Linked DNA regions of Danio rerio. The protein of the gene in region 4 binds, or shares a complex with, the protein of the main gene of each other region. Links are inferred from orthologs where the notes say so. Each region holds a gene or a part of one and is shown on either strand. Other genes may lie near its edges.

What was found.
Region 1: med20 (region 4) and med19a share a complex: the UniProt entries of both Homo sapiens proteins name them as parts of the mediator complex. The link is inferred for Danio rerio from reciprocal best matches to the Homo sapiens genes MED20 and MED19.
Region 2: med20 (region 4) and med18 share a complex: the UniProt entries of both Homo sapiens proteins name them as parts of the mediator complex. The link is inferred for Danio rerio from reciprocal best matches to the Homo sapiens genes MED20 and MED18.
Region 3: med20 (region 4) and med21 share a complex: the UniProt entries of both Homo sapiens proteins name them as parts of the mediator complex. The link is inferred for Danio rerio from reciprocal best matches to the Homo sapiens genes MED20 and MED21.
Region 5: med20 (region 4) and med25 share a complex: the UniProt entries of both Homo sapiens proteins name them as parts of the mediator complex. The link is inferred for Danio rerio from reciprocal best matches to the Homo sapiens genes MED20 and MED25.
Region 6: med20 (region 4) and med24 share a complex: the UniProt entries of both Homo sapiens proteins name them as parts of the mediator complex. The link is inferred for Danio rerio from reciprocal best matches to the Homo sapiens genes MED20 and MED24.
Region 7: med20 (region 4) and med1 share a complex: the UniProt entries of both Homo sapiens proteins name them as parts of the mediator complex. The link is inferred for Danio rerio from reciprocal best matches to the Homo sapiens genes MED20 and MED1.

Annotation. Positions count from the first base shown.
Region 1 is NC_133189.1:26,390,777-26,395,014, forward strand, and holds the end of med19a (mediator of RNA polymerase II transcription subunit 19-A), read right to left. Parts: intron 3,576-4,238; coding exon 3,479-3,575; intron 3,399-3,478; coding exon 3,310-3,398; intron 910-3,309; coding exon 844-909; 3' UTR 651-843; downstream 1-650. UniProt on the Homo sapiens protein: Component of the Mediator complex, a coactivator involved in the regulated transcription of nearly all RNA polymerase II-dependent genes.
Region 2 is NC_133191.1:7,708,564-7,713,041, forward strand, and holds med18 (mediator of RNA polymerase II transcription subunit 18), read right to left. Parts: upstream 3,064-4,478; 5' UTR 2,798-3,063; coding exon 2,725-2,797; intron 953-2,724; coding exon 399-952; 3' UTR 252-398; downstream 1-251. UniProt on the Homo sapiens protein: Component of the Mediator complex, a coactivator involved in the regulated transcription of nearly all RNA polymerase II-dependent genes.
Region 3 is NC_133179.1:2,082,895-2,087,126, reverse strand, and holds med21 (mediator of RNA polymerase II transcription subunit 21), read right to left. Parts: upstream 2,803-4,232; 5' UTR 2,758-2,802; coding exon 2,716-2,757; intron 2,103-2,715; coding exon 1,988-2,102; intron 1,902-1,987; coding exon 1,801-1,901; intron 1,229-1,800; coding exon 1,049-1,228; 3' UTR 734-1,048; downstream 1-733. UniProt on the Homo sapiens protein: Component of the Mediator complex, a coactivator involved in the regulated transcription of nearly all RNA polymerase II-dependent genes.
Region 4 is NC_133197.1:573,705-578,254, reverse strand, and holds the start of med20 (mediator of RNA polymerase II transcription subunit 20), read right to left. Parts: upstream 2,926-4,550; 5' UTR 2,700-2,925; coding exon 2,686-2,699; intron 1,357-2,685; exon of another isoform or gene 1,198-1,356; intron 210-1,197; coding exon 64-209; intron 1-63. UniProt on the Homo sapiens protein: Component of the Mediator complex, a coactivator involved in the regulated transcription of nearly all RNA polymerase II-dependent genes.
Region 5 is NC_133178.1:29,240,342-29,244,593, reverse strand, and holds the end of med25 (mediator of RNA polymerase II transcription subunit 25), read left to right. Parts: coding exon 1-40; intron 41-2,796; coding exon 2,797-2,905; intron 2,906-3,064; coding exon 3,065-3,171; 3' UTR 3,172-3,565; downstream 3,566-4,252. UniProt on the Homo sapiens protein: Component of the Mediator complex, a coactivator involved in the regulated transcription of nearly all RNA polymerase II-dependent genes.
Region 6 is NC_133187.1:11,197,195-11,200,965, forward strand, and holds part of med24 (mediator of RNA polymerase II transcription subunit 24), read right to left. Parts: intron 2,398-3,771; coding exon 2,317-2,397; intron 2,169-2,316; coding exon 2,020-2,168; coding exon of another isoform or gene 1,975-2,019; exon of another isoform or gene 1,935-1,974; intron 1,885-1,934; exon of another isoform or gene 185-1,884; intron 78-184; coding exon 1-77. UniProt on the Homo sapiens protein: Component of the Mediator complex, a coactivator involved in the regulated transcription of nearly all RNA polymerase II-dependent genes.
Region 7 is NC_133187.1:16,874,043-16,877,813, reverse strand, and holds part of med1 (mediator of RNA polymerase II transcription subunit 1), read right to left. Parts: intron 3,388-3,771; coding exon 3,186-3,387; intron 1-3,185. UniProt on the Homo sapiens protein: Component of the Mediator complex, a coactivator involved in the regulated transcription of nearly all RNA polymerase II-dependent genes.

The DNA.
Region 1 (4,238 bases), on a different chromosome or scaffold from region 4:
TTTTCAGTGAAAATGTTTAAATATTTAAGTACTAAAGCACCGTCAATAAAAATAATTAGTAAAATGCTAATAAAAACTATTTCAGCAAGGAAACGGATCACGACTGGCTGGTCTGAGTATTTCAGAAACTGCAGATTTACTGGGATTTTCATGCACAACCATCTCTAGGGTTTACAGAGAAAATATTTAGTGAGTGGCAGTTTTGTGGTCTTGTTGATGCCAGAGGTCATAGGAGAATGGCCAGACTGGTTCTTCTAACTGATGGAAGAAAGGCAACAGTAACTCAAATAACCACTCATTACAACCGAGGTATGCAGAAGAGCATCTCTGAACGCACAACACATCCAACCTTGAGTCGAATGGGCTACAGCATCAGAAGACCACACCGGGTGCCACTCCTGTCAGCTAAGAAAAGGAAACTGAGGCTACAATTGGCACAGGCTCACCAAAATGGAAAATAGAAGACTGGAAAAAACTATGCCTGGTCTGATGAACCTCGATTTCTGCTGTGACATTCGAATGGTATGGTCAGAATGTGGCATCAACAACTTCAGGCTAGTGATGGTGTAATGGTGTGGGGGATATTTTCTTGGCACACTTTATGATCTGTTATTGTGAACAAAAAAGAAAGAGTGTGTTTAAAGACTGTATAAAGAATAACAAAGTTTATTCCTTGAGCTTTTCATCATAACCAGAAAAAGAAGTCAAAAATCATCAACAATTGGCCCTTGTAAACATCAATCAACCGCACTGGTCCATATCAGATTCTCTAACACAGTTCAACATCACTTCATGTGTGCAAACATACATACAAACAAGCACACTCGCACACACACAACTGTTCTATCTCAGGCTGTTGCTGTTGGGTTGAGATCCAGTAACACCAGGATGATCAGGACTGTGTCGATTCTAAAAGAAAAGAGGGAACAGACCAAGACCTTTTAAATGCATTAACAAGACTAAATGGGGTGTACTTTAAATGTGACAGGTCCCAGCAATAAACAAGTAATTATTCTACAACATAATTAAGGTATCAAGTAGATTCTAGGGACATATTCTACACTGTGCAGACCATCGATTTGATTTTGAATGCCACTAACATTGAGCATTTAATATTGTGTTATAGGGATGCGCAATATTGGAAAAAATATATCTCTGCAATATATTTTACAATATGAATAAAATTTCACCAGATGACTGTCTCTATTTGGAAATAATTTATAAAATTAGATTCTTATAATTACTATTTTTAACATTTTTGGGGTCCTCTGGCACATTTTCATTGTGGTCTGTGCTATTTGCAGTGCATTTCTGTATTTGCATGTGTTGCGAGTATTTTCATGCACAACAATCTATAAATACAATCAAGAAAAAGATACAAATAAAGTGTTTTAATACAAATAAAGTGTGAGTCTAACAGTATTCAAGTAAAACTTGAATGATAAAAATAAAAAATAATTAAAAATTAATTGTTGTTAAAGTCACAAATGGTACAATTTCATATAGCTGAATGTTTTTAAAATCATTTATACAATCAGCGGCATCAAAAACACATGCAAATGTGCGATGTGACTATAGCGAATGATCACATTGTGATATTGATGCTGAAACAATATGTTGTGCAGCCCTAATGTGTTATATTTTAATATTATTTATAAAATGTTATACTGCAAAATACTGTCTTGTTTCCTATTGTGAATAACTTATCAGTTACTTAAATCAAGACACATTTATTGAGAAGCAAGATGTCTAAAGTAAGTTTGAAAATTTATTTAGTTTTAGTAAAAGATAAAAACAATGATTTTATTCAAATAAATTTAAGAAAAAAAATTAAATCACACACACATGCATACGGTTTAAAGCATAAATGAGTTGCAACCCTTTTGGAAAATTCCTATTTTTTTTAATCAATTTCTCTGTGAATCGTCAATATATTTTGGTGTTGTATCAAACTGTTATATTTATTCAAATTAAATTAAATCGCCTAACGCATTCAGGAATAGAGAGACAGAAAATTTGTACAAAAAGTTTCTCATTAAAGGTGCAGTAGGTGATCTGCCAAAATGCTAACCGGTTAGCATAATATCTTAGAAAACAGTCCCACCCCTATTTTTCAAAGCCACGCCTCCTGAAATCACAAACACGCACTGCAAAGATGACAGTAGACAGCCCACTAACTCTTGTCATTCGCCAGTTGAAAAACTTTACAATACTTTATTACTGTAAAGTACAAAATACTGTATTATATCCAGCATGTTTTCAGTCGTGTAGCAAGCAAAACTTGTCATAATGTGCAATATTTCATCCATACAAGGATCGTTGGTCTCACTCTCTCCCACGTTTTGTCCTAAAGCCACTACTGTATGCTTAGTGGTTGGCTGGCGGGTGCAGGAATTACACTTTCGTGCATATAACACATCCGTGAAACAACAGAATCTACATCAGCTTTGTGTGACTTAATAGTTTTAAAACAGAACATGACCTGTCTAAAAGAAATACTTCAGCCATGGTCTCGTTCTTCCTCCAGCATAAAAACTAACTTCAATATTGATTCAGGATTATAAAGTTTTGTTTCAGCATTTGTTTTTACTGGTCGCGCTCTCTCTCATGTGCACGTGAACGCACGTGCACACACAAACGGCAGATTTGCACGAATAGCAGCGCAGATGTACAAGTCTACATTTGTTGACAGACAGTTTGGGCTACTTATCAGAATTATGGGAATTAACATTTTTTAGTCTTATGACTTACCCAGAATACAAAAATACATGTAAATACATTTAGATCATTTAATTTAATCATTACTATAGGAATGTGAAGAGACTTTCAACCTGCACATCAAAAAATGTTTCTGTAGACAATCACCTACTGCACCTTTAATTAATTTGGCTGGTCTCATTTTTAGACCGTGATGTTAAGTCTTTTTGTTAGATCAGTTCCAGTCTTAGCTTTAGTACTGACTAATCTAAAGTATATATGCACAACTATATTAGTGTAAAATATTCATGTAAAAGAGGGCGCATTCATTAAGCTTACACATCCTTTTAAATGTAAAATAAACACAGTTTACTGTTGAAATAATATTTGTGTGAAGCAAAAATGATAAATAATTATAAAGAGCATTGTTCAAGGCTGCTCAGATGTTACACCAAAGCAAAGCTGCTTCCTATGTGTATACATTTTTAAAATTTTAATAACGCATTATTATTTATACAGGAACATCCTGTAGCATTCAACCTTGTTCAACAATACACTTTTTAATTATTGTAAATTTGTAAGATTCTGCGCCGCATCAACAAAGTGGCTCACCTTTTTTTTCTTCTTGTCTTTCTTTTTCTTCCTGCGTTCAGGTTCATTATCTTTCTTTTTCTTCTTCTTGGTGGGGTCAGTGCGGGTTTCTGCACAGGGAAAGGAAGTTAACATGCATGTGGTGCACAGAGGAAATAAAATGTGAAAATCCATGAGCTTTTGAAGTGACCTAGCGGTAGAGGATCCTGAGGGTGATGATGTCTGTGTTTGTGTTTGCTCTTCTTCTTTGGTGGCTGTATGTGCATCAGTCTGTACTGCTCAGGAAGCTGCAACACAAACCAACACTATAAAGATGAAGCTCAAAGAACACATTTAGATTGCTTTAGAAAATATGCTGTCTACATCTTGTTTAAAAGGGGACCAATTGTGCAAAAATCCCTTTTAAAATGGCTGATTTATACTTCTGCGTGATCGCAGTGATCCACGGTGCCTGCCTTGCGGGTAGTCGTGCATTTATACTACTGTATACATGCTGTTTGTGTTGCTCTGCAATAACACTTCCGTACACTTGCTGGCAGTAGGTTATGTTCCTCTGTGTCGAGTATCTTCATGGGTATTTCGTTTTTTCTGAACGCTACAAGTAGCTAAAACTCACTCATTAAGTGGCTGTTTAACTGGGAGAAAAATAAAGTGTCCATTCTAGTAATCTAAACAATGTGAATTTGATATGAATTATGTATATCTATTAATGTTAAAAAATAATTATTGCCATTTCAGAAGACTTCAGGATTAAAAGACGGAGAGTGAAAATAAAAATCTGATGGAAAACACATATAAACTGAGATTTACAAGTGCCACTGGCCTCTTTCTCTGGCTCAAAATGCTTCAAGCCACATTTAAACATTTGCTATCATTGTTCATTTGTAATGAGAGAGATAATAACAACTAAAAAAACTCCTCGATGGTGTTATCAAGACTTTTAGAAAAAG
Region 2 (4,478 bases), on a different chromosome or scaffold from region 4:
TCTAAGAAAAAAAGGTCTATACTGAAATAAAACGTCTCAGAAATCTCCATTACCTTGGCGAGAGAGACAACATGACAAATACCGTTTAAAACTAGTAACATTTTTGAAATACATATTTTTATTTTTTTCCCAGAGATGGGTTGCGGCTGGAAGGGCATCCGCTGCGTAAAAAACTTGCTGGATAAGTTGGCGGTTCATTCCGCTGTGGCGACCCCGGATTAATAAAGGGACTAAGCCGAAAAGAAAATGAATGAATGAATGAATATTTTTATTTAAAGATTTTAATTAGCATTTCATCAATTACAAAAAAAGAAAACAATCATCAAAAATATTCCAAATAAATGCAGTCTTAACACCTATTCACCGAATTAAAAATCTCAGTCTGTAGGTCATGTTCTCTACATGAGTCTTTTGGGATCAATCTTCTCCAGGTGAACGAGAGGTTTGAGCTGTTCTGCGAAGCTCCTCATGTCCTCAGACACAGTGTCCTGTCCCGCAGGAGCCAGAACGCTCAGCTCAACAAGATACGACAGAGAGAGCGGCTCCGTGTTATCCGTGTTTCCAGGAACCAGCACACGCGACAGTTTGCTCACCACCACCTTCATCACACCCTTCCGGAACACCTGACCCTTGGCCACGAACTCATGGTCCATGCGGAAGCCCATCTCATTGAGGAAGTCAGGCAAGCTGTGCGAGGCTGCCACGTCCACGCAGTTCCGCACCAGGGCATGACGGCTTTTGTCGCCCACCTCGGGCTGACCCAGATAGCGCAGGTGCCAGGGGACGGAGGGGTCGAGGAGCGAGCGGCGGGCACGCAGGATGAACGGGTTGCCCTGCTGACCTTTCAGGAGATACACCAACTCGTGATCAGCAAAGCTCTCAGGCTCCATGTTATCACACAGGCCCCGGAGGCGATGCAAGAGACTCTCCAGAGATTGGTCCAGTACACTGCCTGTGCCAAACAAACCAACAGAACACAGCCAAGTCAAGATGGATAGATAGATAGGGGGTGGGATGGATGGATGCATAGATTAGGGGCATAAATAGATAGATAGATAGATAGATAGATAGATAGATAGATAGATAGATAGATAGATAGATAGATAGATAGATAGATAGATAGATAGATAGATGGATGGATGGATGGATGGATGGATGGATGGATGGATGGATGGATGGATGGATGGATGGATGGATGGATGGATGGATGGATGGATGGAAGATTAGATGGATGGACGGACGGACGGACGGACAGATAGATAGATAGATAGATAGATAGATAGATAGATAGATAGATAGATAGATAGATAGATAGATGGATAGATAGATGGATGGATGGATGGATGGATGGATGGATGGACGGATGGGGGATGGATGGATGGATGGATGGATGGATGGATGGATGGAGGGAGGGACGGATGGAGGGACGGACGGACAGACAGACAGACAGATAGACAGACGGACGGACAGACGGACAGACAGACAGACAGATAGGGGAATGGATGGATGGATAGATAGATAGATAGATAGATAGATAGATAGATAGATAGATAGATAGATAGATAGATAGATAGATAGATAGATAGATAGATAGATAGATAGACAGACAGAAAGACAGACAGAAAGACAGACAGAAAGACAGACAGAAAGACAGACGGACGGACGGACGGACAGATAGATAGATAAATGGATAGATAGGGGAATGGATGGATGGATAGATAGATAGATAGATAGATAGATAGATAGATAGATAGATAGATAGATAGATAGATAGATAGATAGATAGATAGATAGATAGATAGATAGATAGATAGATAATTTAAGCCTGTTCCTATACATCAATAAAAATAAAATTGTAATTGTGACTAATTTGTCTCAAGTAATGTCACAATTTCTCGCAATGTGGTGTCAATTTCTTAGTTAATGCTTAATAAGTCACTAAAAAAAAGATGTAATTGTTTTAATAAATTTAGTTATTAAATAATACATTTCAGTTGTATTTTTTTACTTACATTAACTTATTAACTGTAATAAATGTCGATATCCCTCACTGTGGCTTTTTGTTTTAATGTATGAACTAAGATTTACTAATGAGACCATATTTTGAAAGTGTTATTGATTATACTTTATGAATTAGCTGTATAATTTTGTTAAAAATGTATTTACTCCGAACACACACAAATCTGGTAACGGTTTAAGTAGGAATGGTAATATATGACCAAATAAGCAAACTATATTATGCAAACAATAAGACTCAGCAAAAAGAACTCTCGTGTAGCACAGTGCATGCTATAATTGTATAATTTAAATTATAACAATTGTAAATTATAATACTACAAACACTACAATGAATACATTGTATACATACTATTATTATGCTAAACTATTCGTTTTATATAACGTTAGCACATTCATAAAGTAATACTGTAGTACATGTTTTTATTATACAGAATCCCAAATTAAAAGTCTTAAGGAATTAAAGAAGATTAGGGTGCGTTAAATAAAAATAGTTTAAAACGCTAGAAAATGTGTGTGTATTGTTTATAATTACATATTCACTTTAACATATTCAACGCTTTATTCAAATGACTTTGCTAATTAAAAAATTGAGATTGCTCATAATGGGTATTTAAAAACTAAGTTAAAACTATTTAATAAAGTGTAACAAATGATAAATAGGAATGAATGAATGGTAAAAGGAGTTGTGCTGATGGTGTTGTTTACCTTGCAGAAGATACTCCATCATGTTTATAGTTCCACCCGTGACGGGCATCACAGTAACCGGCGGAGCCTCCATCACTCTATTATTATTACTATTACTAGTATTATAATTCTGAACTTAAGTCTCTTAATACATTTACAGTCAACGATCAGTTGAAAGATTAACTTAAACTAGAACTTTAACTGCTGTAGAAAACATCCACAACAATAGACATGCTAAGACGTGTTAGAAGATATTATCAACAAAAAGCAGGCAGACGATGAATTAAAAATAGCATATATTGTACTTGTATCAAAAAGCAATAAACAAAACTAATGATTTGCGTAAAATACTACGAAAAAATAATGTGTCTCGATGAAACTGCGTCCATGTGAGTAAAGCGCATGCGCAGTATGGATAGCGAGTACTGCGCATGCGCATTGTGCAACGCTTGCTCTATTCTTTTAGGCGTGCATTTAGTGACACCTACTGGACTGAAGTGAACTCTTTATCATATAAAATGGGTATTAAAATTGAGTATTATTAGCCTATTATTAATAGCAGGAGAACATCAATTATGGTTGCGAAAAGCCGATTGCCCTGTTGATCAAATTCAAGTCAAGGTGTTTGCTTGCAGAAAAACTAATGGCTCTAAGAGGTGGGTGTGATTTTGCCAATGCAATCATGGAGTGACATCTATCCTGGAACATGTCCTACATGAAGAAATAATTAGGCTATTCCTAAAATACAATATATTTTTTTTTATGGAGTAATGGAAATCACTATTTTAAAATGGAAAATTATGTGTAAACAAAAATGCAATGGTGGGTTATCGGTGTTCATTTTTTAAAACTTTAAACAATACATTCAAAATTAATTGGTTAATTAAATACAAGAAAGAAAAAGACAGTAAATGGTATACTTTTCCATATGGCGCAGTAGGTAATGCTGTCGCCTCACAGCAAGAAGGTTGTTGGTTCGAGCCTCGTCTGGGTCAGTTGGCGTTTTTGTTTGGATTTTGCATGTTGAATGTCCCTCCCTGTAGGGACTAAGCCAAAAAGAAAATGAACGAATGAATGAATGAATGAATGAATGAAGTTATATTTTGTGTCAAAATTTAGTCAATGAGGGAAGTTACTTTAAGTATATTATACGTTTCAGTGCACTGGCAGGACTTTTTTTATTAATATTGTTATTATTATCATCATCATCATCATCATTTATTATTATTATATTGTTATTTTATTATTTATTTTTTCTAGCATTTTCTTAGTTATGTGCATTTCTCATAAATACCTAGTTTTATAAGCTCACGTTAAGCATATTTTCCAAAAATTATATTGTTTTAATAATTGTTATTATTTCATATCATATTATTTCCAAATAGCTTAAACATGCATATTTACCATTTACATGCAGTACGTACGTATGAACCAATGGTATGAACCATGAACGCAAAGCAGTCGAGTAACTTTTATTGTGGAAAACATTAAATGCACTGTGACGTTTATTTTGAAAATAAATCGACATGTGGAGACCTTTATTTTGAAGTTTCGTGCCATCTTAGGGCTGCATGACATCGCTGGCTGTTGAAGATGAGCTCAACTGTAATGCTTCCTGTCGACATCTAATGAATGTAATTTACTATTATGTGTCTTTTACTTACGTTTGGATGCAGTAGTGTTTGTAATCGAGACAGTTATGGTGTTGTTACCAGCTCCAAAGGTGTGTCTCCGAGTGCTGTGTTTTTCTGTCAGTCCTTATTTATTTACACACA
Region 3 (4,232 bases), on a different chromosome or scaffold from region 4:
ACTACTGTAAGAAGATATCAGAGTTCGGTTCATACTTTCAGTATGTTGTTTATATAAAATGAGCCTGCTCCCTAGCAGGTTTGAGCTATCGGAACTGTTGCTATGACAACAATTTTCAGATCAGTTTTGAAGAATTAAACGATCCTTGATCATATCAAATCGTCAATAACCAAACCCAGCTAAACTGGAGTCATCCATGTGCGAATAACGGACCGCTAGCAACAACCAGTACAGCAAAGAAACAGCAACATGACAGCAACAGCAAGTTAGAAGGCTTAAAGAGAATGTCTGTTTCTAATGTATTGGAAGCAGATATTTACGTAGGAACAACACAACAACAAAATGAAGTGATGTTTAACACAATTTGCCGTCAGTTTAACAAGTCAACCACCTTTTATTAATAGATTTTGAACTGCAAAAAACCTGCACATTTTCCATACTGCTCTTTTTGTTTGCATAACACTTTGAATTTTGCTCATTATTTATTAAAGCATCTTTAAGTATTGAAATTCGAGATTCACAGACATTGTTTTTGACACATTATTTAAAATATGTGGCTAAAAATAGCTATCATCTTAGCTTTTTTTTCTCTTCTTTTTTTATTTTTGGTGGGGTCAGTAAAAAATTTGGCAGGGCAAGTAAAAATCTGAACCACTGGCCCGATCGGACCAGTAGAAAAAATCCATAGCGTTAAACCCTGAACAGGTCAAAGTTAAAAATAAAAACAAGCATGTCATACAATATATTTTTATTTGTTAAACATAACTTCTTTCAAAACAAGAGTATCAGCATAATGCTGGTGAGGGAAAAAAACAACATTTAATTTACAAAACATACCCAGAAGCTGACTATTAATGGTAGTAACACGCTGATGAACATTACACAAGGTAAAAAACAGAGGTCGCACAATAAAGACATGCGATGGGAAATCAGCTTTCTTTAGTCCAGAAACCGATGTGAAACAGTGAGTCTCCTGCAGTCGATGTAGGATGCGTATAAAATCCCTGCTGTGTCCCGACACTATAGTTCATGTTGTGGTTTTTTTCTGTCAGGATTCTGGAGGTGTTTGCTGACTCGGGGCTCCGCTGCGGGTGCGGAGCTGTGATTGGGCGATGTCTGCTAGTGCCGTCTGGATCTTCTCCAGCAGGGCGTCTCCTCTGTAAACCACTTCCTCCAGACGCGCTGCAGCTTCCTGGTTCTCCTCTTCCAGCTGTCGCAGACTGGCGGCCTAAGAAACGCATCAGAAATGACAACAAGTAGAGACGAGGTATAATGCTAATGTATTGTTGTTCACTCTGTACTTGGACAACATGGGTAGCACAGAGCCAGATGTGCAATATATGTGGCATGGGATGAGCAATTAACAGTAATCAAGTTTGTAATATGATTAATATCTAGCTAATTGGTCATTTGTGTATTATTGTCATGGTATATTTCAGTGTTTCTCAAATCCATTTCTGGGCTCCTACTGCTCTGTACATTCAGTGCAGCTTCTGGAGCTTTCTTCTAGCAAGATGATATTTATAATCAGGTCCATTATGTAGGCATAACTCAAAATGTGCAAAGCAGTGGCTCTCCAGAAATGGATATGAGATGCACAGGTTAAGCTGAGATTCATTTTTAATGCAACAATATAATTTACAGTTGATTTTCTTCTCTTTGAGTGCCAGAACTCAAAACCTGAAGTGCAGAACAACCATATTTTAAACAGCAGAAGGCTCAATAATTATATAATGATTCAATAATAATAATGTGGTGTTGGCCAGTGATACAGTGTGTGTGTGTATATAATAAATGTACCTGCAAGGCTGCAGTGGATTCTTCACTGGGCAGAGAGTCGATCAGCACATCAACATCTTTTGCTGTTCTTGCTATCAGCGCTGCAAACAGCTGAGCATATTCTAGAAAAAACACATCTTAGTATGTCAACTTCAAAACACATTATTTTCAAAGTGGATCACATTCAGATCAGTGCAGATGAGAGCACCTTCTGTGGGGTTTGAGGGCTGGTCTTTATTGATGGCCGTCTGGATGTTGCTGAAGGAGGCCGGTGGTGCGCACTGCTGCAGAACTCCAATCGCATTACAGAACTGATCCGCCAGCTGAAACACGACATGCAGTAAATCAGACATGCAGGACAATCCACTGTTACTTTCAGTTTACATGTTCTTTGACATGATGAGAAGTATTAGTACTCAGTGCTAAGATTGTGAATTATGTAATATATGAATAAACACAATTACATGTAATGTTTGATTAAACAACATTAATTTAAAACAATTTAAAAATAATTAATATTGCACTTTGAAGAACACAAAAAAAGAAATATTTAAGTGTACTTCACCAATATATAAGTAACAATAGCACTTACAGAAATGTATGTATATATTATATGTTATATTATAATTATATAACGGTGCCTTTTATATACACTTACTTAGATTATAATAGGACTATTATTTTCAGTTTCGTTTTATTTATAACAAGTAAAACATTTATTACAGTATCAAAACACATATGACAACAAACTTCACCTGTTCATTTGTTCACAAATTGCACGCTATGCTAACACTTCAGACGCTACAGTACATCAACATGACTTCTTAAGCAAATAATCCAATTTAATGAACCAGACTATTAAGTAAATCTGTTCGGAAGACATTTGCTGTGTTCTGCAGTTTCTGAAGTATAAAATAAACGTTAAATGAGTCTTACGGAGTTCACAGCATCCTGAAGCTGCGTTAGCCTGTCGGCCATGTTGGCTCCTCTTCACAGTTTCCGTTTCCGCCGAGCGCGTTCAATGCTACATCACGTGATACAGCGCAGCGTACAGCGAAAGCGCTCGTCTACTGAAAAGTTGTTGCATTTTCGCGCAAAGCAGGAGTGCTTGACACTTCCGGAGGCTGGATGTGAAGCTTCAACATGACTGCCGAATGTAAATGCTTCTGCTAAAGCGTGTTTATGGACTGGACTGATCCGGGAAAATGCCACTGAAGAGAGAATGTTTGGTTCTGCTCGTCTTGTCGTGGGTCGGTTCACTGCGCGCTCAGGATGAGAGTGAGTAACGTTAAACCCCTAATACCTTCTTTATTACGCTTGATAAAATATATAATCCCTATATAACGCACATATGTGGCAAATAACAGTTGTTTAAAGTGTGACTCAGCTCATTTAGCGACATATGAATCGAAATCAATCATGTCAACTATGTATTTCTAATCAATTAGTGATTGATATGATGTTGCAACTGATCTAAAGTTCACCGTTACGCTAAATAAACACAAACATCCCAAAATATCTTACTTATCACGCTTAATTAATTATATAATCCCTTTTAAACGCACACATGTGACAAATAATTCGTGTTTGTAGAGTGAATCAGCTGCCGACATATCAATCTGAAATAATAATCCTAAGAATGAAATGCTGATCAATTAGTGATCGATTCGTGTACTGATTTAAGGTCAATATATCAATCTGAAATAACCCTATTATTGTTACCACATAATAGCTAACATAGAGGTAACGTTGCTTTTATAGTCGCACATTCGTTTATTTAGCAGTCTCTGTATTGTTTACCATGTTAACGTTAACGTTACTTTGAATATTCGATAGACATTAGCAGGCAAGGATGACTTCAAAACAACATCGACAATGATTTCCCTATTTAGAATTTGTAAACATTACTTTTCTGAAATTACCTTATTGAGGAGAAAGTCTGAATATGTGAATATAAAACAGACTTTACCTCTATATAGCTAACTATTATTGTTCTAGTGTATTTGGGTTTTATGACTGCTTGTACTGTTTATAAACTGGACTACATTGATATTTATGAGGTGATGATTGCTGATAATGTAAATACACACACACACACACACACACACACACACACACACACACACACACACACACACACACACATACATACATACATGCATATATATGTGTGTGTGTGTATGTATATATGTGTTTGTGTGTGTGTGTGTGTATGTATATGTATATATATATATATATATATATGTATATATATATATATATATATATATATATATATATATTATAATTTAACACTTTAGTGAATCTTAGACAATGCATAAAATAATTAAATACATAAGTGACTGATTTATTTATTTGTTTAATTTTTCATACACAAGAAAGACATTCATTACGACTAATATAGTAAGAATATTAATCTCACACTTGGGAAGATAATAAGTTTACGGTAATCA
Region 4 (4,550 bases):
TTGTCATGTTATTTTAATCTGTAACAGAATTTGGTTTAAGTAATCCAAGAGTTGTGTTTTTACCGGTGGCATTTCCCGTAGCGTGATACGTCTCACAGTCCACCCAGAAGTTCCCCTGTTTTACGGCTCCCAGCTGCTCCAGCTTCCTGTGGAGAAGATCCACCGTCTGCTGGACGCTCTTACCCTCGGCCACTGGCACCTGACAAACACTGACACAAACACACACACATTTGAGACGTTTAATTTATTTACAATTAAAAACAGTTTCAAAATGGTAGTTTACTAAAGCAAGATCATTCTGATCAGTGTAAACATCAATAAAAATAAATAATAAAAATAATTGTGCGAGTCTGTGTGTGCATATGTGTAATGTCTGTCTATCTAGCTATATAGATAGATTGATATACTTGAGTAATTCACCTATGAAAACCAAACCCCAGGGGTCCGTTCTTCGTACATGCATTACTCAGTTATTATATAACGGATTTGGTTATTGACGATTTGACATGTTCCAGGATCGTTACGCTCTTCAAAACTCATCTGAGAGCTGTTGTCCTATCAATAGTTCTGGTAGCTCAAACCTGCTGGGGAGCAGCAGCTTGTTTCATATAAACAGGATAAGATCGGTTCAGTTCAAGCAAAGATAATACTGAAACTATGTAACGAATTCTGATCTTTTATTACAGTAGTTATATAGTTATATACACTTGGGAAAATAGTAAATATATTTTTTAACTATATATATATATATATAAGTTAAAATATATATAAATAAAACTTATGCAATCTGCACTCCGAAATAAAAGTACAAATACTGCCACCTGGTGGATCAAAGAGAAAATTAATGCAACCTTTTTTTATAAAGGAATAATACATTCATGCAGGTATTCGGTAATATGACTGGGATTTAATGCCTTCAAAAAAGTTGCAGACATCTTTACCAATAGTAAAATGCTTTTGTGATGCAAAATTAATTTAAACATCCTGTTAATCTTTATACCAATTAAGAAACCGGCTACTATAATACTAATATGGCGACTGTAATAAGGAAAATCTGCTCTAACAATAAAATAAATTGCTGAATACTCTTGACACATGAATGTGTAAAAAAGCCTGCAGCTCACAACAAACATGGGAAGTTATTGTGTGTCATATTTAACAAACCGTTTACTAAGAATTTTAAATAATTTTGCTCACATGGAGAATTGAATATTGATCAGATGATGTCATTGCGCTGCTGTGCCGTCAGCCAATCGCTGCATTGCTGATCATGATTTTGGGGATGGATAAATCTGCCCTTCACAACACACGCTGATCTCAGATGTGCATCCAGACATTTTAATCTAATTCACGAACCTGTTTGAGGAACCAAATTAGCCAGAGATCAGTTATCAAGATGAACAGATCAAGGATCTGCCAAATCATCAAGATCATTTAAGCAACGTACGGACCCCAGCTCAGCATTTCTGTTTGTTGTCAAAACTGACAGCTGGAGGGGCGTGGTTATGAATGTTAGCCCCGCCCATTGCCTAAAACCAATAGTATCTGGATGCAGCCTTTGTGATGCAAGCTGAGATTGCATCTCTTAGTGATGCAATGTCGGACACAATTGAGCTAGTGAGGTCACTTTGAGGGGTGGGGTTAGGTGAGCACATTAAAGCTGCAGTCACACTAGAGCTTGCGTGTGCGAAAGTCCGCCGTACGGCGCTGCGAAAAGGGGCGGGATTAAACAAGATGATTAGGCATTAATAAAGCGAGTGATTGCTGCATGTGTTTCATTTCTGTCCAGAGAGCTCATGTTGATCCTCGATTGGTCTCCCGCAGTCAAGTGATGTGATTTCGCAGGTCCGACTTCACCAAGGTTGAACTTTGCACTGAAGTGACCTGCGAAACTTGACGCATGACCCTGCGTTTCCAGTCTGACGCATTCGCGTGTATGAATGAAGTCTATGGTGAGAAAAGCCCAGTGTAAGCACAGCTTAAAGTATTGGATGCAGCTCAGATTGCATCTGCACCAGGTCTGCAGCCAGACCCCTCTCTCAAAAACACACCATCTGATAATTTAACTGAAAACAAACAGGAAGAGCATTTTCAGATTTCAATTAAAGATTAGAAGGGCAAACTATTACATTTTCTCAATAATATGCACAGATGAATTATTCACCACAGAACTAGCACTGTGAGCTAACAACAACAACAAGGCTAGTTTTCATTTCATGGGCACTTTAATAAATTTTAAGACCCCGCGGACTCCCTGAACACTACTTAAATGAGTGCTTGTAAACTACAAAACTTGTTAAATGTTTTTTTATATGTTTGCAGTAAATGAAGCTGATAATCTTACACTTTTTTTTATACAAAACTTCGGGAAAACCTCGTCAAATATCCTTATATTTCATCTTAAATGTTAGTTTGAATGAACACGTGCACCTGATAATAATAACAGGCCTTCATTGTGTTCTACACAACACTAATAACAGTTTTGTAAAGTACTTTTAAGAGTGACATGTGATGTAAACATGTATAAAGCAATAAATAGACTGATGAATGAGGAGCAAAAGCCTCTCTGTGCATTCAAACAGCGCTGAACGGGAGCATCAGGAGCACCAGAGAGACTCAAAACAAGCACAACTGAAAATATTAATTATTTGAGGACAATACTTTATAAACAAAAGTGTTTCTCACCACGTTACACCCATTTCTTCGAGACAAACTTCCGCAAGCCGGGGTATTTACTTCCGGATCACTCGAGTTTGCGTGAAACACGCGAAATCAGTAAAAGTAAAACACTTAAATTCGATAAAATAAAAATATTAACAATCATTAAATTCATGTAATATAAAAACATTAGCCGCGCTAAAAATGAACAGAGCCGAGATCTGCCGAGCCTCGAGCGGAAGTAAACAGTGTGACGCAGCGCCGCTCTGGGATCAGTAGTTCTGCGCGCTCCAAAACAGCGCTCATCTCTCCAACTGCTCTCAGAGCAGCACTACAGACATATATCTATGTATACACACACACTCTCAGCGCCATTGCTCTCAGACCCACGTGTGTGCAGCTCTCCGCGGCGCGTCATGTGTTCAGACGCGATTTCACACTCATAATTCCTCAGACAGACAGGCAGATAATACTAATATTGATAACCGTCATCATGCCGAAGGTGAAGAAGGCCTGGAGCGGCGGCGCGGTGCCCCTGGCCGAGCAGATCCTCCAGCGGGACTCAGTGCGCTGCAGCGGCCGGCAGAAGCAGCGCGGCCGCGGGCAGGAGGAGCAGCAGGAGTTCGTGGATGAGAAGCTGAGCCGGAGGATCCTGGAGCAGGCCCGCAGACAGCAGGAGGAGCTGCAGGACACAGCCGAGGAGGAGCGCAGGACACCGGCGACCAGACTGGGTGAATGCTGCACTCACTGACTCTCTCTCTGTCTGTGTCTGTCCTGTTTTACCAACTGTCTGTCTGTCTCTCATCTGACTGACTGTGTGTCTGTCTCTCTGTCTGTTTATTTGTGTATCTATATGTCTGTCTATCAAACTATCCGTCAATCTGTCTGTCTGTTCCTCCATCTTTCTATCCATCTGTCTATGCCTCCATCTGTCTCCGTTCGTCTGTTTCTGTCTATCCATCTTTCTGTCCATCTGTCTATCTCTCTGTCTGTCCTTCCATCTTTGTCGGTTTGTCTATCCCTTCCTCTGTCTTCATCCGTCTGTCCATCTGTCTATCAATTTTTCTGTTTGTCTGGTCTGTCAAATCCTGTGTCTGTCCATCACTTCATCTCTCTCTTTCTAGCCATCTGTCTATCCATCTTTCTGTCCTTCTGTCTATCCCTTCATCTGTCTATCCCTCTGTCTATCCATCTTTCTGTCCTTCTGTCTATCCCTTCATCTGTCTATCCCTCTGTCTATCCATCTTTCTGTTCGTCTGTCTATCCCTCCATCTGTATATCCATTTTTGTGTCCGTCTATCCCTCCATCTGTTTATTTCTCTATTTTTCTGTCTTTTTGCCCATCTGTCTATCCCTCCATTTGTCTGTCCATCTGTCTAACCCTCTGTTTGTCTATCCCTCCATCTGTCTGTCTTTCTATCCCTCTGTCTATCAATCTTTCTGTCCTCCTTCTTTCTATCTCTCTGTCTGTCTTTCCATTTTTGTCGGTTTGTCTATCCCTTCCTCTGTCTTCATCCGTCTGTCCATCTTTCTGTCTATCTTTCCATCTTTGTCCATTTTTCTATCAATTTTTCTGTTCGTCTGGTCTGTCTAATCCTGTGTTTGTCCATCCCTTCATCTCTCTCTTTCTAGCCATCTGTCTATCCATCTTTCTGTCCTTCTGTCTATCCCTCCATATGTCTATCCCTCCATCTGTGTATCCGTCCATCTTTCTATGTCTCTGTCTATCCATCTTTCTGTTTGTTTGTCTAATCTTTTGTCTGTCCCTCCGTCTGTCTATGTCTGTCTGTCTTTCCATCTTTCTGTATGTTTGTCTAATCTTCTATCTGTCTATCCATCTTTCTGTCTGTCTTTCTGTCTACCCTTCCATCTGTCTATCCATTTTTGTGTCG
Region 5 (4,252 bases), on a different chromosome or scaffold from region 4:
AAACCCCCAGCTCCGCAGTCTGCTCCTCAGCCAGCAACCTGTAAGTGTGCGGCAGGGCTGTTAGTCAGTATTAGGGCTGCACAATATATCGTTTCAGCATTGTGCGCATAAGCAACAGTCACATCGCATGATATATGCAATGTTAAGTCTAAATTATTGTTGACCAGGAGCCACAGAACACATGCGGTTTGTTGAGTCACTGCTAAGTTTAACCATAATACAGTGAAAGTTTATCATTTGCATGTGTTTTTAAAGCCTGTAAAAGTACATTACAATAGAGTTTAAACATTGGGGAACAAATGTTATGATGTTTGGAGGTGTAACAAAGATTATATGTATTTATTTATTTATAATTCATGCAAAAAATGTTTTTTTTTACTTACATTTTAGTTTCTAGTCCAAACATCTACTTTTCAAAGCGATGCTGAAAAACCTGTAACCATGAAAGTCAGTGGTTTCAGCTTTAATCAAAATATGTTGTTTATTTTTTTATTTTTTTTCATAGAATCACTTGATGGTAAGTAAATAGTGAGTAAATGTTCATTTTGGGTGATCTATTTCTTTTTACATTAACATTAAATAAATTGTCGGCTTGTTGAATAGTTTGAATTTGAATAGCTTTGTTGAATAGTATCTTGAGATCATCTGATCTAAACTAAAGGCCTGCAATTATATGGTGTGGCCAGTGAGGCGCTGTAGCACAAGACTGCTATAATTCAGCTCTCTCTGATGCAATAGACTTGCTGCTTTGGAGATTATGGCTCAATTCCAAATGGCACAATTCAATGTGGTCCTGCGGACTTAAAATGGCTGCGTGCCACTTAAGAAGGGTACTCACAAGCCCCTTCTTTGTGGCACTGTATGCACATCAGCTGAGACCAGGGTTTTAATCCACATTTTGAAGTATAACAACAGTAACCAGAGATTTAAAGCAACAACACTAAACTGCAAAAGAAAATATGATGGCGTTGACTTGTGGGAAAAGATGTATACAATCTGATCTGATGTGGTAAGCAGTAAACACATGTAACTAATGGGCTATATGCACAGCTAGCGTTTTCAGCCACTGCTAAACTTCCGGTGAAGGGTTAATGTGACTATTTTAAAGCTTATAAGGTTCCTTTTACAGCATCAACATCTTAATATAATTAAAATACAATCAGTTAAATAATCTTAATCATTTATTTAGTTGGTCAAACATGAAGCCAGATGAAAGACATTGAAAAATTGATGTAAAATACAATTTCATATTTTAAAGAGATGGCAGGCAAAAATGGAATTTTATGTGCTTCATGTCTGGTCTTCATGACCCATTTTATGTCGTATATCAAGCAGGCAGTGAAGATCACTTATTTGTAAAGAAATCAGATCTTAAACGTAACGATTTTGTAATGAAAAGACCAGGCTGGCTGGCTAATAACTAAAAGTCTGTGTGCATATAGCCCACTAGCTGTTTCACTAGTATCTGTACATAGAATTAGTTTTAGCAATTGTAAGCTGCATTGCACTTCAAAAAATGCATTTCTTATATATATTTGTCTTGTTTCTAGTCTAAATATTTCAGAATCCTTTAATTAAGAAACATTTTTTAAAACTGTGAAATTTTGCTTAAAACAAGCTAAATAATCTTGTTTTTAGTTTTGGCAATATTGTTTTTCTTAACCCGTTGGCAGATATTTAGCTTGTTTTAAGGATATACTCACTTAATTTTCAATTCAATTCCTGTTTATTTCTATAGCGCTGTATAGCAATATAGATTGTGTCTAAGCAGCTTAACATAGAAATTCTAATAAACTGAAACTGTGTCAGTCAAGTTTTCAGAGTTAAAGTTTAGCTTAGTTCAGTTCAGTGTAGTTTAATTTTCACTGCTGAACTTCCAAACACTGAAGTGCAAATCCATCCATGAACAGCTCCACAAGTCCCAAACCAAGCATGCCAGTGGTGTGGAACAGACTTCACCAATTGACGAAAGTGAAGGGGAAAAAAAACCTCAGTTGGCCACTACCGTTTCACCTCTGGCCAAAGTTCAACTATATTTTGACATATTATTTTTTAAAACAAGACAATATGTTTTGCTTGTCAATAAAATGTTTCTTGATTTAAGAATTGTTGATTTTTGAACTAGAAACAAAACAAAAAATATCTAAGTATCTAAGAAAATTAAAAAAGAAAGGTAAAAGAAAAGTTAAACTAAAAAATAAATTAAAAACAAGTTTTGTTTTGTTTTTTGCATCTTGGACATTTTTATAACTTTACAACATTTGTAAATAATGCTATATGAATATCCCAAATCAAACAAAAACTGCTCAGGGGTAGCTTAAATAATGTGTTGGTGCTCTTTGGGTAAGGGATTCATAAGGGAGTTGACAGAGTTTGCATGAGCTCGGGTTTTATCTCAGATTTGCATATATATGGAAGTCTTTGACTTGTATTGAAAAAGAAACTGCTTTGCAACTGCTAAAGAAATAATTTCTATACAGTATGAATTACTGCTTCATTGTGATCATGTGATTTAGCAGAATCAGTTGCATTGCTTCTCTGCTTTCACAAATTCTCTTCTGCGGCCTCATGTTGTATTAAATGTGTCCTAATTCACTCGACTGAACTAGTAAGTCATTTTAGCAGTTTTAACCTACTCTTTTATGAGTAGAGTGAAATAAAAATAATAATTTCTTTGATCACATACTGCTTTGACATACTATATAGTGGGAAAGTAAGCGATATTTAGATGCAGCCATGTAAAGTCTGATCTATGAAGTTTGACTTGCTTTTATATGCCAGCCTCTCTATGTACAGCAGGGTGGTATGCAAGGCATGCAGGGGATGCATCCTATCCAGCAGATGGTCCATGCAGCACCAGGAGGGGGCGCTCAGATGCAGCCTCAGTGGAGACAGCCTCACCAGGGTAACGCTTAATTTCCACTACAGTATCATTAGCACCATTTATTTTTATCACATCTGTGACCTTGTTAATTGTGTAAGAGATTGAATTTATTTGCTGTGGTTTATGCTTCATTTCATTTCCCCCCCAAACTTTGTAGATTTATATTTCACATTCCCACAGGTCCACTAATGGTCCCGACGGGTCCACGTGGTCCAGTCACACAGAATCCAGGGATGCCTTCGGTGTCGAGCGTCATGGAGGATGAAATTCTTATGGATCTAATCTAAGGACTGTTTTCCCATCATTCTTTGCTTCAGAGGTTTAATTACGGAATATGAAAGTCATCATCTTTTTTACTTTTTGTTAGAAGAAAGCGTGTAGGGGAAGAAGGACTTTATTTTCATACTCAAGTATTCGTTGATGCTTTTACACACAAACTTATCACCGTATCATGTAAGCGGTTCATATGGAGGAACTGGAGGAAAAGACATTTACAAAAAATTAGGTTCCACTTTGAAGACTCAACTACTCCTCCCATTCATAAATGAATGAATCAAATCCGGTTACTACTGTATTTTTATGAGCATTTTACTTTCTTTCGGTTTTACTTTTTTTATTATTTGTCTTTGAGATCTAGCATGTTGTTTTATGAAAATTAAATAAAGTTAATTTTCTCAAGCAGCTTTTTTTGTGTTAAAAAGTCTCCTAAATGGGCAAAGTGTTCCCCATGAATACAAAGGAAGATGTTTTGAATAGTTCATCTATAATTGAAGTCACAGGGACACAAAACTGCTCATTTATCTGTGTAGTTAGCAACATTTTTCATAACTGATTTTTTTTGTATTATGTAGCCAAAAGCATTTGGAATGAAACAAGTGGGATTTCAATCAGGGGTTGCCAAACTTTTCAACCTAAAAATATCAATGCCGGTGACTCGCGTTTAGGGCTTCACAATTCTGGCTAAAATAGGAATCACAATTTTTATTTATTTTTTTGCTTAAAATCAAGATCACGATTTTCTCACGGTTCTGTAGATGTAAAATAAAGGTTAATAAGTGTAGGCTATTATAATGTTATTCTCAATCATATGGTTAAACAACAACAATAATAATAGTAGGCCTTTGTGTAGGTCTACTGGTGGTTGTATAGGTGTATAGACTTGGATTGATGAACTTGAACATTAACATGTCCTGGTTGTGAATTCACAGTAAGGTGATGATTTCAGAATATTCATAATTCATAAGATAAATTATTGTGTTTGAGACATTTGCTTGTCATTTGACATTGACCACAATGTTAAACCATTTATTATCAGATTCCCTCTTGCATAATATTAAAGATCATATAGGCTAGAGTAGTTATATTGAC
Region 6 (3,771 bases), on a different chromosome or scaffold from region 4:
AGAGGAAGGCTCAGGTCTGTGATGGACAGCACAGTTTTAGGTTTAGCCAGTGACTGAAGCTTCACCAGCTCGGAAATCTAAGAAGACAAAATCAAAAATAATTGTTAAAAACATAAACATTATTTTGTTCATCAGGATTACTGCAATTTGAGCACAAACCAAGAGAACATAGACACATGCATGACTTACAATTCTATGAAAAGATGAAGAGTTCAGATGCAAAACCCTAGAAATCAGGCATGGGCAAACTTGATCCTGGAGGGCCGGTGTCCAGCACAGTTTAGCTCCAACACTAATCAACCACACCTGAACATGCTAATCAGTGTCTTCAAGATCACTCAAAATCTAAAAGCAGGTGTGTTTGATGAGAGTTGGAGCTAAACTGTGCAGGACACCGGCTCTACAGGGTCAAGTTTGCCCACCCCTGCTCTAAATCCATCAGACCTCTTTTCTTTTAAATGAGCGCGTTCATTTTATATGTAATGATAAAGTTATTAGCTGGTAAATAAAATAAATGTTTTTCAAAAATATCACTTTATACAATTCTTTGGTTTTTAACAAGGTAGATTTTATTTTGCATCAAAACCAGCTAAATCCACTAGTGCTTTTTATGCAAAAACCTCTAAATGCACCTATTGATACAAGACAGTGTAATTAGTTGAAAATCACTGAAGATACAATTAGAAATTATTTTACCAAACATGAAACACATTACACAAAGCACCTGAAATTAAAAATACATCTGTCATGTAAGTGGCGGTTCATTCCACTGTGGTAACCCTGGATAAACCAGGGACTAAGCAGAAGGAATTGAATTAATTATATCTGTCAAGTAAGTGCATTAATCAATAACATTAAAATTGACAATAATTAAATCTTAACAATCTGTTGTCATTTTTGATATTTGGGATTTGGATTAAATGCAAGTAGAGCAATTTAAACAAGCTTGTTAGATTTAAATAATGTAGTGTAAAACATTGTGACACATCAATATCTGTGCATTGTCCATTACTAAAGAAAAGAAAAGAATTTGTTGAAGTAATAGAAATAACGTATAGTTGCATACATTATATTTATCTTTTAAAACATAGCTTGCATTAGCAAATAAAACACAAGGTAGACCTACTGTGCAAAAAAAAAAGAGGATGTCTCTCAGGAGCTGTCATTTATCTATCCTCACTATACTCAAGATCTTGCTATCTTTTTGGTCTCTTGTTTATCCTCATAGCATCCACGCGGGATTAAAGAACAGCATCTTAACTTTATTTCATGAAATGAAGTTGGTGTTTAATGCAGTAAGAGTAAATCGGACCCATTTAAAGTAGCGCCGCAGCGCAAACAAACGTTATGAATGCATGTTACACTTCCAACTGTATATTGTGTTTCCATTTTCCTATGAGTTTTGAAGTACAGGACTTTTATTTGCCATTCACTGACAGTCGGAGAGGCTCATCCAGTTCATCAAGCTTCATCTTTTAAAATCGAAAGCGGAATGAAACAGACTCATAAAGCCGGCGTATCAGCGCACTGCTATATTGAAAACATATGATTCGATTCACGCCTTCTGATTGGTTCTCGGGATATATCGGCTTTTGCTGTCAAAGGCAAGTGGCCTTTAGCGGCTTTTGCAAACAAACTGTTATTTCTAAATGCACTGACGCTGGGATTTAGATCATTTCAAACAAAACTCTTTGTTGAACATGTACTACGTGCCTAAAGCAATGTCATTATCTAGTTTTTGCCGGAAATGCATTTAGCGGTCTTTGTATCCGAATTCTTCATATATTTGCCTCCATCCAAATAATCTTAACTGGGTTCACACTGTACAGTTGGTACTAAATATTCAGATGCCTTCTTAACTGATGTTTTCACCACTTTTATTATCTTCATGTGTGTTTGCGTGCAGCATTTGTAGCTCTACATTTAGCAGAGGCTTTTATCCAAAGTAGGTTTCAAGTTTGTCTCTCTCTCTCTCTATGTGTGTGTGTGCTGAGCATGCACACAAGATGATTGCCTCACCATGGTAAAGGGCATAAACTGCAGGATGCTGCTGCGGCTGCCTTGCTCTGAACAGTCCACACACTCCTCAACAAAGCTCTGAACAAACTGCGTGTGTGGGCCTGCTGTCTTAGACCCCAACTGAGAGGAAATCAACAGGAAGAGATTTGCTAGAAAGGGGAAAAAAACATAAGAATTGTTTTTGACTAAATGGCACAGTCTGTAAGAGTGTGAGATGCTATGATGATTATGGTACTAAGGTGCAAGATTGCGAATATGATATTTAATTTATACATTCAGGAGAAAATGAGCACAAACCCAGCACTCGGTTGAGAGGATCTCTCATGTTGACGGTGTGGAGCTGAGAGGCAGACAGTGAACTGCTTATGGAACGGTCACCTACAGAACACAACATCAGTTATTTTGAGTGTGTCTGTTCTTATCGTCAAAAAAAGATGTTCCTTTGTTGAAATCACAAAACAGAAATGAGTACTAAGTTCTAATAGCCATCAAAGCAGATTTTAATAAATCAAGTCCTGTTAACTTCCCTTTCTCGGTTTACTTTATAAATAAAACCAACTTTCATTTCTAGCTCTTCCTTTTTTTGTGAAAGTGACAGACTAGTCGTAACAAAAGTGTAAAATTAAGCTTTAAGCTATTGAAGCTTTAGATTTTGATTTCCTATTTGTAAAATATTTTGTCTAAAAGACTTTAAAAAATTAGTTCGTATCTTGTTTTAAAGAGTATAGAGAAGAAATTGGGCACACTTTACAATTTTAGGGTTTTATTAGGCAATTTATTTACTAACATGAACTAATTATGAACAATACTTGCACAGCATTTATTAATTTACTAATGTATTAGTGACATCTAAATGCATGCTTGTTTACGTTTGTTAATGCACCGTGAGTTAACATGAACTAACAATGAACAACTGTATTTATTAACTAATGTTACCTATAACATGAACAAATGCAGTAATGAATGTATTGTTCATTGTTTGATTACGTTACTAAATAAATTAACTAATACAACCTTATTGTAAAGTGTTACCAACAAATTATAGTTCACCCAAAATGAAAATTTACTCACTATTTCCGCACCCCCAAGAAGTTTCAAAACTTTATTATTTTTTTATCTTGTAGAACAGAAAAGACACTTTGAAAATAAAATCCTGTAAACATTGACATCCATAGTTAGAAAAACAAGTACTACAGCTGAAGTCAGAATTATTAGAACCCCTGAATTATTAGCCAACCTGTTTATTTTTTTCCCCAAATTTCTGTTTAACGAAGATAAGATTTATTTAACACATTTCAAAACATAACAGTTTTAATAATTTATTTCTAATTACTGATTTATTTTATTTTAGCCAAGATGACAGTAAATAATAATTTTCTAAATATTTTTTTCACGACACTTCTATACAGCATAAAGTGACAAAGGCTTAACTAGGTTAATTAGGTTAACTTGCCCAATTATAATAACATGCCTAGTTATTATATAACGGTCATTTGTTCTGTAGACTATCGAAAAAAAAATTAGCTTAAAGGGGGTAATAACTTTGACCTTAAAATTGTTTTTAAAAAATTTTAAACTGCTTTTATTCTAGCCGAAATATAGCAAATAAGCAAACCTCTCCAGAAGAAAAAAATATTACAAGACAAACTACTATCTAAATATTATCTCTGCTCAAACATAATTTTGGAAATATTTAAAAAATAAAACAAAAATCAAACGAGGGGCTAATGATTCTGACTTCAACTGTATATA
Region 7 (3,771 bases), on a different chromosome or scaffold from region 4:
TTCTTTGAGATTTCTAGAGATATTTACAAATAAATATATTTTAAACTATTTGTGGCTATTTTAAATAGGTAAATTTATTTATACATTTAAATCAATAATATTAGTCACTGTGAAAATGTATTTATTTTTTGCCAGTTTAATGAGTATCCAGAGAATTTTCCAGATGTTTCTTAAATAGCTATTAACAGAGGTGCAGATTGTTTGGGGTTATAGAGAATAGAGATATAAAATAATATCATCTGAATGAAGAGAAATACTATGGTTCATTTGACCTATTTTTTGGGGCAAAATCAAGGGATTCTTTTTTGATAGCAAGGGTGAGGGGCTCAATTTTAAAAAGCAGTGATGAAAGAGCACAACAGGTGCCTCTATGTGACTGGAACTGAGATGATCAAGTAAAAAGAAAATCCTTACCCAAAAAAATGCATATGTCACCCAAATTAGACTCTCTAATCACATCACAAGATATAGTCGCACTCCATTTGGTCAAATGCTTTTTTTGCAACCAATGCAAGAATTGAAAGACTGATTTTAGAATCAGATTTGGTGTACAAAATACTTATCTGCCTGACATTAAAAAAAATAAAAGAAAGAAGAGAACATAAAAGAAAAACAACCAGGAAAAAATCCAGATTGGTCAGGATGAATATTTTTTCCTAAGCAATAGTTTAATCTATTAGCAAGTATTTTTTTTATTATTATTATTTTTTAGAATTAAATAAATGTTTGCCGCATGAAAGGGATTCGGGGAGCCTATGCTCATTAAATTAATGGTTAAGTATCCTTAACAGCAAAGGGGATTTTTTTAATGAAAAATTTATACTAAAGCCATCTGGGCCAGGTCATGTAAGATTTGTTAAAGGAATATCAGCCCTGTTTTTAATTTTTTTTATGGATAGCACTAGTGGCTTGAATTACCATAAGCTTACAAGAAAGCAATTTTTAAGGTGTATCCCCAATTTCAAATTGCTTTTGTTTAACTTGTAACAACATATTGTTAACTTGGTTAGAAAGAATTAAATTATATTCCACTTTGAGTGTAGTAATTTCTTTAAACCTATCCAAATCTAAAGAACCCCTGTATATATCTAACCGGTTATCAAATTCTACAAGACGTTTTCCCTTTGTTTCTTAAAACTGGACTCATAAGATACGTTTCATCTTAGAACTGCTTTTAAGCTTTCACATAACAATAAACTGGGAACCTCACCGATGTCATTGAATTTAAGAAACTCAGCAAGCAGCTCTGTTAAATACAAAGCCAGGCTTAATTTTGGCTAGATCTACAGAGATTGTGACTGCAGAATGGTCAGACATTGATGTATTATGATGTTTCATTCTTTTAACACAAGGAATAGTTTTGGACTAAACTAAAAAAAAAGTCTATCCTGGAATATGATTTTTGGACATGTGAAAAGAAAATATACTGTTTGTCCAACGGGTATCTTAATCTCCAGATATTAGCAAGAACCAAGCAGTAAATGAGATCTTAGAAAACAACAGTAAAATTAGAAAGAGGTATCTGAACATAATGGAAAACTGTCAACGGCAGGATCTAAAACAAAGATAATAAAAAAAATAAAAATAAAATCACAGCCAATAATCCAATTTGAATTTAGTGTAGTTGGTCAAAGATCAATGATATTGCTAAAAATTCACACACATAGACCTCATCAACTCAAGCAACATCCACACTCAAGGCCATATTCTAACGATGTGTTCACACAAGATGCAGATCAGATGAAGAGTTAAGCATTTAATTCAATCAAATGACACAACGGAAACTGAGCATTTCAGTGTTTGGTCCTCTTAACGTGTAATTCCCACAAATCTCTCAAGTTCACGCCATGTTAACCAATCACGCCGTGTTACCCAATCAGGAGCTTACTCTAGTAGTGGTGCGATTATGAAGTACTGCCTGTAGTTGGTGTCCTGAAGGAAAATCCTCCTACCGACACGAGACAACAGGTCATCAAACTGGTAACGGCTTGGTCAAAAGTGTTATGATTAACTCTTCTGTCAGTGTGTAGTCAGCACTGCCATAGAGATGGCTCCCTCACCCCAATCAGCACACCACTTGTGCCGATCAGGGGACTGCTGCAGCTCACTGAAAGAGGAGTACACAACTGATGCTGTTGAGGCAGATGGCCGGCATGATTTCATAATGAATCCTCTCCCATCCCGACCCTTGAACGGTACCTCACTACGCATGAATCCTGGACTTTCTGCACTGAACGCACCACCCTATACTTCCCCGCGCACATAAATAGCATATAATGTATGTATCATCATTACAAAAACTGGCAAAGACTAGGCTATAGCCTCTTTCACACATACAGAGGTTGTATGTGTGAACAGGTCCTTTTTGAAAATACCGGTAAATTCGTTCTGGCTATTTTCCGGAAAGAGAAGTTTTAACATTACCGGCAATTTGCCGGAATGCTGCGCTGTGTGAATGCAGAAGGAAGATTCACGTAATAAGCGCGTGCACGTCTAGAGCGTGCTGACGTGAGACGTCTGCTTTAGCCAATCACAACAGTCAGACGCATTTACGTCCGCGCGGTTTGTGAGGATAAAAGCCTTTGAATATTTTTCCAGACACATTTAGCTGCTAGAAGTTAGTCAGATCACGTTTATATGTTCTTCTTAATGCCAACTGTGTAAATAATCATCGATGAAATGCTTATGATAAGCCGTTGTTTGTTTACCTTCAAGCTTTGCGTGCGCCTATGAGCGCCTGCACACGCACATATTATGAACATCTTGATAAACGAAAGTGATCCTGCGAAAGTTGTTCACAATATTGATCATCCACAGAGTTTGTAATTTAGTCAAATGTTTACAAATACAAGTGCAGCCATTTAAAGCTCATTTGTGGTGAATGATGTCAGAATTTACCGGTATTTTGGAATGGATGCGTGAATGCTCTTTTCCGGAAATTTTCCAGAAATTTACCGGTATCACTGTGTGAAAGGGGCTAATATCCTTAATCCAATGACGGAAACTAACAAAATCGTATGTGGTTACCTTGTTTAGCTCGATACATTTCTTGAAAAGTACACTGCAAATTCAGAAAGCGCAGGGTTTTTGCAATGTGCAAAAATGGCTATACAGATTAAAAAAGTGCAAATAGAAGTTTTCTTTTGCAAACACCTACAGTCACACATAGTATGAAAGAAACCCACCTTCCTTAATGCAGGCCTTTTTAACGCAACTGCCAATCAACGTGTTGTAAGCAGCCTGATGTCTTATAATGTCAAGGAGAGCAGGCACCTGAGCAGGATGTCTGAAGGGAATCTTGGAAACCAAAGCTCCTTGAAGAGACCTTCCATCTTGTACTGGAGCATCACCATTTAGGAAATAACAGTGCTGCTGTCCTGGTAAAGACTAATTAAATAAAAAGACAATTCATGGAAAAGGTTAAAATGATGTACCATTTTTAATGTCACGGGATTCAAAATATGACAAAACATAATATGTGTGCAGTTTTAATTGACTGTTTAATTGACTGGAAGCATGTTCTATTCAGAATAAATTGGCAGTTGATAAATCGGTTTAGATGATGAAAGACTTAGTCCTTAGTCTCTGATAAGTTTTTATTTATACTGTGATTTTGTCTCGGATTTAATCAACTTGCTTTATCTCTAAAAATGGAGCAAACCACCTATTAAAAAAACAAATGTAAAATTAAAATAATGGTTTACTTGTAGCTAGAGGTGGGTGACGATTCTACTTTACTGTGTAGGATGTAATTTCATGGTAACAATATAT